Callithrix jacchus: one gene and its partners. The protein of the gene in region 2 interacts with the protein of the main gene of each other region in a biochemical or structural test. Links are inferred from orthologs where the notes say so. Each region holds a gene or a part of one and is shown on either strand. Other genes may lie near its edges.

Region 1 (3,651 bases), on a different chromosome or scaffold from region 2:
CACGGGGAGGCTGAGGTGGGCAGATCACTCAAGGCCAGGAATTCAAGACCAGCTGGCCAACATGGCAAAGCCCTGTCTCTACTAAAAATACAAAAATTAGCCAGGTGTGGTGGTGCGTGCATATAGTCCCAGCTACTCAGGAGGCTGAGGCTTGAGAATGGCTTGAACCTAGAAGACAGAAGTTGCAGTGAGCCGAGATCACGTCACTGTACTCCAGTCTGGGTGACAGAGCGAGACTGTCTCAAAAAAAAAAAATTATGTTATTTGAACAGGATTTGATGAACTTGGGCTTTTGTTGTCATTTTGTTACATGGTTTTCTATATGGCTTGGAAAATTTTCCTTTGTTCTTACGTTGTAAAGGTGGTGGCTTCATACTGGTTCGGTCCTACATGCACTTTTGAATTCACTTGATAAAACCAGATTCAAATCAGAAAGAGAGGATTGCCAAAAATTTGGGGGTAAATTTTGTTTTCTTTAGAATGGTAGTTTTCAGACCTTTTTTTTTAAGCTGCCAGAACTCTTTTTCAAATAAATTCTTATTTTGGGACTTCAATTTAGAAAACTGATTTAAAATCTTATTTTATCACTTGAAATATTGTGACTTGTAAAGTTCATCACCAAGAACACTGGAGCTTAGATGGCCATTACTATCTGATCTCATCCTCATTGATCCTAGTTTTTGTGTTTTAATTACCCAATATCAAGAAAATTTTAATTCCTAAAGATAAGCAGTAGTTGCTAGTGCTGGCACTGCTGCTGCTTATTAGCAGCTCACTTTGTAACCTCAGCATACTTTTCCGTTAAGCAGAAATGACAAGAAAAAATTTATTTCTAAGCTTGTATATAAGTTAACCAGTCTTTATTATTTGCTATATCTCCAGATTCTAACGTACCATCTGTGATATAACAAGTACTCACTTATATATTTATGGCATGAAGAAATGAATGAACCAGGAGCATTAGTATTCTATAGTGTACTACATTTTAACATATTTACGCATTTGAGTGTGAATTTGTATTTTAAATAGGTACATGTGAAGTTTGGATATAATATTTATGGAATGCCTAAAGTCAGAACTAGATTCAGCTGGACTCAGTTTGAAACCCATTGTTTTAAAGAAATATATATATATATATTTCATAAAGATGACAAACATAATCTCAGCTAAGGAGAGCTTCAAGATAAACCGCTTTATCTTATATCTTCCTCTATAAGCTGGTCTTGAAAATAGTTGGTTTTGTGGGCTTTTAAAAATTTTTTTAAAGACAGGGTCTCAATTTCCCTCTGTCTCCCAGGCTGGAGTACAGTGGCACAATAATAAATAGCCCACTGTAGCCTAAAACTCCTGGGCTCAACCAGTCCTCCCACCCCAGCCTCCAGAGTACCCAGGACTGCAAGTGCACACCACCATGCCCAGCTACTTTTTAAAAATTATTTGTAGAGTTTAGATCTTGCATTGTCCAGGCTGATCTTGAATTCCTGATGTCAAGCAGTCCTCTCACCTCAGCCTCCCAGTTTCTGGGATTACAGGCATGAGCCACTGTGCCTGGCCAACAGTTGGTTTCTAAATCAAACATAGAAGTATGCATTTGGCCAGGTGCGGTAGTTCATGCCTATAATCCCAGCACTTTGGAAGGCTGAGGCAGGCAGACTGCTTGAACCCAGTAGTTCAAGACCAGCCTGGGCAACATGGCATCTCTACAACAAACAAACAAACAACAACAAAAGAAAAAAAAAAAAACACAAAAAATTAGCTGGGCATAGGTAGTAGAAGCCTGTAGTCCCAACTGCTCAATAGGCTGAGGTGGGAGGATCACTTGAGCTCAGATCCATCATGCCACTGCACTTGAGCCAGGGAAACAAATAAAAAAACAAATAAAGTCGTTTACATTCGTCACAAAACAGACATGTTTTTATTGATAAAGATGAAAAGAGTATTTTTAAGAAAATGATTAAGTTTGAGACTTTTTCCCCCTCTTAACCAAGTAAACTAGATTGTATATTGACATAAATATACTATACCTGTATCATTAAAATGTTTCAAAGTGGCCAGGTGTGATAACTCACACTTGTAGTGTCAGCACTTTGGGAAGCTGATGGGAGACCAACGCAGGTGGATCGCCTGAGATCAGCCTGGCCAATACGGTGAAACCCGTCTCTACTAAATATACAAAAAAAAAAAAAAATAGCCAGGTATGGTGGCGGGAGCCTGCAGCCCAGCTATTCGGGAGGCTGAGGCAGGAGAATCTCTTGAACCCGGGAGGCAGAGGTTGTAGTGAGCCAAGATTGTACCACTGCACTCCAGCCAGCCTGGGCTACAGAGCAAGAGTCCCTCTCAAAAAAAAGGTGTTTCAAAGTTCAGTGCCCCATGAAGGTTTTGATGTTTTGTTTTACCCTTTCATTTGTATTTGCTTGACAATGTTTTGATTGCCTTTTCTATTTAGATTTGTGATTTTGGATTGGCCAGAGTGGAAGAATTAGATGAATCCCGTCATATGACTCAGGAAGTTGTTACTCAGTATTATCGGGCTCCGGAAATCCTGATGGGCAGCCGTCATTACAGCAATGCTATTGACATCTGGTCTGTCGGATGTATCTTTGCAGAACTACTAGGACGAAGAATATTGTTTCAGGCACAGAGTCCCATTCAGCAGGTATGATTTCAATTTAAGGCTTTAGTTTCAATTCTGTTACAGATTTGAAAGAAAAATCTATCTTGTACATTATACTGTCTAATTTGCTTTTAGAAAATTCAGGGGTTCACGTAAAATTCAGAAAGTTACAAAGCTGAAGATTACAAAGAGATTCATTTTGTAACTTCAAGCCTTTAGAGGGAGTGTTAACTTTATTTAGTTATTTATTATTTTATTTACTTTTTTGAGATGGAGTCTCACTCTGTTGCCCAAGCTAGAGTGCAGTGGTGCCATCTCAGCTTACTGCAACCTCCGCCTCCCGGGTTCAAGCAATTCTTCTGCCTCAGCCTCCTGAGTAGCTGGGATTACAGACACATGCCACCATGCCAGGCTGATTTTTTGTATTTTTAGTAGAAACGGAGTTTCACCATGTTAGCCAGGCTGGTCTGGAAATCCTGATCTCAAGTGATCCGCCCATCTCGGTCTCCCAAAGTGCTGGGATTACAGGCGTAAGCCACTGCAGCCTGTTGACTTTATCACATGCACTGATGTATAGCTGCAGGCTCTGTTGTAACAATTTGCATAGGTATAATCTTTAGTTGTTAGAAGGCCTCTCTTCCTTCTAAATGAATGGCTCTGACTTGAAAATGTCTCGATGACTTAATATACTTAAACTTTGTGCTTAGAATATAAATTTTTATTGTGTTGATTTCTTGAAATCTGAACATTTAGGAAAATTTCTGACCTTTATTATTGGACTAAAATATTTAAATATGACAGAGAACATCAGGAAATGATTAAAGTATAGCTTTAAAAAGCCATTCATGTTATTTTGTCTTTAAAGCTAATTCACTAATACACATATTTTCTTGGGATACTTATTAGGTATTTTTTATTTACAAATTTTAACAGTATTGCTTGCATGAAAATAATGTAGTAACCACGAGTTCAGGCTGTGAAATGAAATTGGTGGGTCCAAATCCTATCTATACCATTTAACTGTTAAATCTTAGGCA
Region 2 (3,651 bases):
GGTAACTGTACTTCCAGAAGAAGGTGCATTAGACCCTCCAGTCTACTTCACTCAGGTAGGAATAGGTTCTTGCCAAAAATCTGAACCAAATGAAAATTCAGTGATAAATGGCTAAACAGCTCCAGAGTCTTGAGTGCCCACGTTCTGAAGATTTCTCCATTTTGGTGGGGTTCCCATGATCTTTTGAGGTCCGTGCTCCTTTCCAACTTCAGAATCAAAATCAGCACAGTAGGAATCAAGCTGCTTAATGTCCTCAGGGACACAGCTTTCAAGGCAGAGGTCCACTGAGTTTTACAGTAACAGAAAGAAGTGAAGGATCACTGCTGCAAAGGAGCAACAGTGTAGAAATCCTGCGTAGCGTAAGGCAACCACAGCAGAGCCCGAGTGGATACTTACACGTGCATTAGGTCACTGTCCGTGTGGGGATGTTCTTGTTTGACCTGAGGTGTTACAATAGCTGGATGAGGGATGCCAGTTGTGTGGGGACCAGGAGGACCGGGAATCATATGATGGGAAAACCTAAAAGAAGGAAAGAGAAGAAAACAATGTACTACTGGCTGTTGTAGCAAAAGCCAGATAGAATTTCAAAGCAATCCACTAACGGCTACTGGCTAAGAGTAAAAACGCATCTTTATGCACAGAAGCATTAACTATAAATTAGAGTGGGCCGATAATTTTTTTTTCCTTCTGTATTCAGGTGGAAATATTTACAATTATTCCCTGTAGTTTTTTCAAACTAATAGTAGAATATGACATTTTTCTAGGAAGGCTGTAGGCCATAAGATTTGGAAAAAAAAGTGAATCATTAAAAAAAAAAGTGAATCATTTTTCTTGCAAAGCAATTTCAAAATAAGAATTTCATTAAAAGTCATTATTGGAAATATAGCACTTTAAGACTTAGCTTTTAAAGTGATTTTTAAATGAAAGCAAAAGACACCACATGTTAAAATCTCTGCCTATATTCCTAAGCAAACCATCACAATGAAAATGTTCTCATCTTGTTGGCTTCCTCATCCATACGAGGAAGGAACAACTGAGAAAAGGGATAGGAATCAGTCTCCCATTTAATAAGGTTTCCATTAACATCATCCAAAATGATTTTCTGTGCAGATATAAACTAATGTTTCAGAGATGACATCTTATGGAAAACTGGTAACAGAAATAAGGAGAAGAATTTAATTAAAAGGAAGGATACAGTTCTGCATCAAGGTTAAAAACTACACCCGCCAAAGGCTTTTTCCCAAGTATGCTTGTACAGTATCAAAAAGTCTCCAAATATCCACCACCAGCCAACACAAAGGAGGGAAACTGCCATGCAAGAAAAATAAAATAAATAGAGACATTCCTTTCAATATGCTCTCTAGATAAATTTGGATACGTTTTAGAAATCTTTGCTTTTCAAACTGTTTTAAAGTAAACATTTAACTCAGCAAGACAACATTCTCAGGTCTTTCATCACAGCCTACACAATTAATTTCCTCATCTGGAAAGAAACTCTGCTGGGACATATATTTTTCAAGAACAAGTCTTAAAATATTAAGGAAGCACGGTAAAAATACAAATATTTGACCAAATAACGATGCTTTGTTAGCTGTATTACTTGCAAAAATATATGATGCTAGTTATTTGCCTGTCAGAATCCTATCATCAGATAGTTCTTACAATGTTAAAAAGTATAAAAATATGTTTTAAGGGGAAAGATAGTAATTCCATCTCCTCCCACAATCGGCTACATTTACAAGTCACTGAAAAAAAATTTTTTAAGCTGTAATTCACCCCAGAAAATATGAAATTTATACCCATATAAAAAAGACAGATTCACAACCAGTTAATAACCTACCAGTTTGACTTCCGGCACAATAATGCTAGCTCCCTTGACAAAGCCACATCGAACACACAGATAATGCATACCAAATGTGTGTGTACATCAAGCACAGGGCACAGAGCCATCCTCTCCAGAAGCAAAAGCATCACACACAGCAGCTTCTCGGGGAAGCGCAGCAGGCCTCCCGAGCTCCGCTGGCACAACCATGTCCACACAGGCCTGATTCACACACTAGGACACACACCCTGTACGGCCTGCCAGCCTGTCCCCACCGTTCTGTCTCTTCTGACAGCCTCCGTCCAGGAAGGCTCTAGGCTCTGGGCATTTTCAAACACTGCCGCATCAAACTGATACAACTTTCCACAAATGAAGCATATTATAGAACTGAGATCAAACCAGTTTTTATCCTCCTCCGGCATATTTTGAATCAAACAAACTCTTCTTGTAATGTCCGCTTTCCGGACAGTTCCATCCCACAGTCAGGCGGTCATGGATTGGTTTGGAGGCAATGCTTTCCAGGGAGGCTGTGTCCATCCCCCGATGGTGTGGCTGGTGCGGCTGCGGCACAGTGCAGGGCTCCTACCCGGGACTCTCTCTGACACCTAGTGTGGGAGCCAGGCACACTGCACAGACAGACACATGGCTGAGGTATGCACCCTCCTAGCTGACCAAAAGGCAAGCAGAGGCGCACAGGATGCAAGCACGAGAAGAGCAACTTGTCCTTGAGCGCCCCAGTTTCCACCTCCACCTACCTGGACATGGAAGTGTCGACTGACAGTGAGGATGGGTAGGGTTGCCTGAATCCACCCGTGATGGGATATACAGGCTGACCTTGCCTGAGGTCACAGAAGAAAGGAACCCATCAATGACAAAACACGAGTTACCAACCAGCAGTAAGAGTTGGATGAGGGGAGAAGAGGGAGATATTCAAACAGAATCTTGTGGAAGTATTACAGACCTCCACATGGTTTCAGATATGTAACCGTTCCCCTTCCTCACCCTCCACCCAATCAAAGCATAATTTGCCTTGAAGGAAATCTCCCACCCTCAACTTGGAAACAAACTGTTCACAAATTATGTCTCTTTTATTCCGTCCCCTCTCCCAACCCCATTAATGCTTTGAACAAAGTAGGCACTTGAATGTTTATTGAATATAACAGAACCCTGAGAATATTGAAATATTCCCTTCAGAGAAGGAGCTGAGTGACTTATCAGAGTTTTTGAGAATTTCAGGCAAGGGAAGAAAGAAGAAAATAAAACTTTATATTTATATAAAAATAAACATTTAAAAAACACCATACCTTTCCCCCAATATATATGTTAAAGTCAAGAAATAAAAGACTAATTCACTGGAATTATTTTCCCTCCATCCTAAGTCCATCTTTCCCTCTGTTCTTTCTACATCTCTCATTTTTCACTTACACAGACTTTATTTCTAGCTGCCAGTGGTACAATTCAGCACAGGACTATTGCCCCTAAGTCGCTAAGTTCAGACAGAATAATTGATCTAGGTTTGAAAGTGTATGCATAATCAATTAAGTTCAAGCAGTTACTGACTAAGAGATGTAATGCTAGGGAGAGAAAAAGAAAGAGAGAAAGCTGGATTGTTCATGGCAGGATGAGCCTTCCTGGCTGAAGAAGGATAATGCAAGGATGTCCAGGTATGGCGATGTGGGCCGATGACATGGGGGCTGTGACATAGAGAGCCAAGTGGAAAAAGGAGAGAAACAAGTGCTAGAGTTGAGAATTATTCCTATGGAGAAGTGGGGAGGGAAGAGTAGAGACAGTATAGGAATGGGAGGAAAAAACGTTGTAGGCTAATCATA
Region 3 (3,751 bases), on a different chromosome or scaffold from region 2:
CATATTTTCAACTCTAAGGGACAATCCAGAGAAGACAGTTGATAGGCAGAATGGCTACAGCAGTCTTAACATATCAATTTCAACTTTTTCCAATAAAGACTTATAAGAAATGAGGTGCCCCAGCAAAGACATAAGACAAAAAGCAATGAGAGAGGCCCAGAACAATGTGTAGCCCTTTTAAGTCACACAACAGATGTCGAGGACAATACCTTAGACAACTGTGGGAAACAGTACAGAGAAATGTCGCCAACTCCATATATTTATTCACAGAGTTTATTTAACTGGTTTATTTCAAAGAGCATGTGTGTGCTCCATATACAAGTTTTACAACAACTTTTTTTAATTTAGCCTTCCTTTCCCTGCTGGTTCAGGCCTACACCTGTTTCTAGCATTAACGTGTGAAGCCATTTCTTCCCACATACCCACAATTTTCCTGACACGTGCCTGCTAGCCAACTACTGAGGATGTTCACCCTTGCAAGTCATTTTTTGCTGACTCTGAAAAAGAACAGGCCCAAATCGTTCAACATGAGTTTCACGGCACTCATTTGGGTTTTTCCAGATGGTATTTTCCTCGCTCTCTCAAACTGATTTAATGTTATGTATCAGCCACCATCAGAAATGTTCCAAACAGTCCAGTTAATTCATTTCTTTCAGGATTCCACACACACACACTCATTCCCTCATTCTGGCCATGTAAGCATTTGCTTATAGAAGCAGAAGCAGAGACTGCCCAGTAAAACACTGGTCCCTTCAGCCGAATGCAGATAAAGCCCTGATGAGCATAACCAACAATACCCTTCACACAATATTACCCAAAACCCCCAGCCCCCAACACACACAATCTATGCTCACACACAAAACGGCCATTATGAGGAAAAACCACCAACTAAAGGCTGGTTTTATAGGTCAAACTGCTTAGGCGGTCTCCTTCCAATCTGCCGTGAAGCATCTACAAAGAGGCTTCTTCAGCAGTGGCAGTCAGTGGGTCCGCTGTTCCCAGATTTTCTTTCCCAAGTGGGATGAAGAGTCCTGCCACAGCCCTGAAGGAAATAAACCTGGTTGCACTTTCCGCTAGAAAAGGAACCAGCCCAGTGCTCACCAGAGGCCAAGATTACACCACCTGGCTCTTCATTCGGTTGCCCTTCTTCACTCACCCTCATTTCAGGACCTTCTCCCACTCTGCCAGCCAGGCCCATTCACCCAGGCCCCACCCACAGCGAAGGGCAGGGCAGGAAGGTACAGCCGGGTGCAGAAGTCCTGCTGGATGCTTCCAATGATAGCCTTATCCTAGCTCACAGCTTAGCAGGATGGAAATAAACCCTTCTCTGCTATTCCAACCTCCACTGACCATGTCCCTTTTAGTAAACACTGTAAATGAGAAGTGCGACGAGTCCAGAGTGGCCGCCGGACAGAGAGAACGGAAGATACCCAATACATTTTGACAGACAAGTGACAATGGAGGCAGCAAAAAAGCTGGCGCAAAGGAAGTGGGCAGTAGAAGAGATGGGGCGTCGGAGCAGTGGATGTCTTTACTCCTCTCCTAAAAAGTTTTTGAAGACCCCAGCGAATTAAACACGTGTCTCTGTCAAGCAAGGTACAGTCCCAGTATCCCCCAAGACCAAGGCTCATTTCCCCTCTTCAGGGAAGGCCTGGTTTTGAATGCGACTCTATTTACAGGGAGTTTAACCTGGACTAGGGGACACACCCACCGCTGCACTCGCCCCTCCCGCGCCCGCGTGGAGCGGTCTGGAGGTGAGAGGCGGAGCCCAGAGAACCCTCACCTGCAAGCGGCCAAGGGCCGATTTCCCCACAGGGACTGGACTCCCAAGAGGTGACTACAATCAAACTAACTGCTTCCCTCCAATATTGCATCTCAATCCATCCAAAGCTCTCCCTGTCCACGCCCTCAACCCGCTGGGATCTTCACAAAGGGGGTTCACTAGAACTCTTTCTCTCCCGTCTCGTCGGGACAGCAGCGTCCCGGCCAGGCGCTCCTCCTCCCCCACAGCGCGCCAGGTCGCTCCCCAGCCCCCACTCAGTCTCAGCAGCTGGCATCCCCTGCCGAGGGTCCCCGAGCCGGGACGCTCCGCCCCCGGCTACCGCAGCGCCCCCCGAAGTGCGCTCCAACCGAGCCTCCTAGAAGCGCACTTGGGCCGGGCGAGCGCGGCCCCCAACTGCGAGGGGCAGTTCGCCCTCCGCCCCGGGGCAAGGGCACTGGGTCCTTGTCCCAGAGCTCCCACGATCCGCTCTCCTCGCCCCGGAGTGGCAGACGCAGCGCCCCCCAGCCGCCCGTCGCGCCTCTGCCCAGCTGTCACCACTCACCTGCTCTTCAGAGGTTGACTTTTGAGTTCGTAATAGGTTTTGGGCTCTTCATGAAACTCCTCTCCTACTTCGAAATCCGGCACTATCCCCGATTCCGACTGCATGGCTCCCGCTTCCCGTCCTTCCACAGCTCAAAAGTGAGAACAGAGCCCGGGGGCGGAGGCAAGGTAGCTGGGCCTGGGTCCCCCGAGTCGTGCGCCCCCGCGCAGTGCAGAGCTCTGCCCGCTCGCCGGCTCGCGGCCGCCCGCCAACGAGCGGGGAGTTTACACTGGCACCCGGGAGGGAGGGGCCGACGGCCGAGCGCCGCCTGGGATCTGTAGTTCGATCCGGGCGGGGTATTCCCGGCTGGCCTGGGGAGTCACTCCCACAAAAACTACAACTCCCAGAAGGCCAGACGGGGGAGAAGCAACGTGGTGGACACCGCTAGAGCAACTCCTGTTTGGATTCATTTTCAATGTCAGCAGCTCCTCTCCCTCCTCTCTCCCCACTTGCTTCAAGGGTACAGACTTGGCTATTTAATATGAATAAGAACGGACACAGCCTGCTCTCCTACCGTCACCCCCACCTCTCAGCTCAGACATCTGCGAGGGCACGCCGTATGCTTATTTAAAAAATAAGATAGTGAAGGGTTTTGGCACTAGAAAGTTTTAGTATTCGAGCCTGTCTTAAAATAAAAAGACTTCCTATCAGCCCGCATGCTTCCCTGGGCTGCTGCGACGTATCAACTTGTCCTCGGATTGGAACAACGAGGAAGAACTTTCCTTCGCTTTGTAATGAAAACGTTATTGGAGAAATTGTTCTTGTGCGTTCCTTTTCTAGAACTAAGTCTGGACTTCTACAATACGGTTCATCAGTTAAATGACCCTTTCCTCCCCTTTATCCAAGTAGCCACTTCTAATCTAAAGCAGCAATTGAAAGATCGGTTAATTTTAAAAGGCACAAACTTACAGAACAGTGTTGTCGCTCTCTGCTTTTAATTTCCCAGTTGACTAGGAGTTCAAATGAGATTGTCCTAATATTTCAGGAGTGAAGATGTGCAAGTGAACTGTAAAAGTGTCAACCCCTTATCGAGCTTCCTGGCACTCACTTAGGGAAGAGAATTTTATAAACTCTCCTTTGTGGCTCATTTGTACTTCTAGTCCTTCCCTCTGATTAGTTCCAGTAAATAGATTGTGTTTCTTCTTTTTAAAAGTGTTTTGAGGCATCAGGAAGGCAGTATAGAGTTACGGTGGCATTTAAAGGTATAAGACTCAGAGTTCAAATTGCTGGTGCTTCTAAGAAGAGCTGTGCAATCCTTAGCATGTCACTTGGTTCCTAGAAGCCTCCATTTCTTCATCCATAAAAGAAGAGATTGGCAAACCAGTTTTAGAAGATGTTGCAAGGGCAAATGTAAGAGAAAGTCATTTGCAATCTATAAAACCCTGTTC

Evidence for each region.
Region 1: of the proteins of LEF1 (region 2) and NLK, one has a biochemical effect on the other in vitro, tested with the Homo sapiens proteins (4 studies listed by BioGRID). The link is inferred for Callithrix jacchus from reciprocal best matches to the Homo sapiens genes LEF1 and NLK.
Region 3: the proteins of LEF1 (region 2) and MITF form a complex in vitro, tested with the Homo sapiens proteins (2 studies listed by BioGRID). The link is inferred for Callithrix jacchus from reciprocal best matches to the Homo sapiens genes LEF1 and MITF.

The regions. Positions count from the first base shown.
Region 1 is NC_133506.1:105,366,746-105,370,396, reverse strand, and holds part of NLK (serine/threonine-protein kinase NLK), read left to right. Parts: intron 1-2,446; coding exon 2,447-2,656; intron 2,657-3,651. UniProt on the Homo sapiens protein: Serine/threonine-protein kinase that regulates a number of transcription factors with key roles in cell fate determination. Positive effector of the non-canonical Wnt signaling pathway, acting downstream of WNT5A, MAP3K7/TAK1 and HIPK2.
Region 2 is NC_133504.1:89,313,019-89,316,669, reverse strand, and holds part of LEF1 (lymphoid enhancer-binding factor 1), read right to left. Parts: intron 2,662-3,651; coding exon 2,578-2,661; intron 520-2,577; coding exon 397-519; intron 1-396. UniProt on the Homo sapiens protein: Transcription factor that binds DNA in a sequence-specific manner. Participates in the Wnt signaling pathway. Activates transcription of target genes in the presence of CTNNB1 and EP300.
Region 3 is NC_133516.1:51,562,138-51,565,888, reverse strand, and holds the start of MITF (microphthalmia-associated transcription factor), read right to left. Parts: upstream 2,567-3,751; 5' UTR 2,429-2,566; coding exon 2,325-2,428; intron 1,201-2,324; exon of another isoform or gene 1,102-1,200; intron 1-1,101. UniProt on the Homo sapiens protein: Transcription factor that acts as a master regulator of melanocyte survival and differentiation as well as melanosome biogenesis.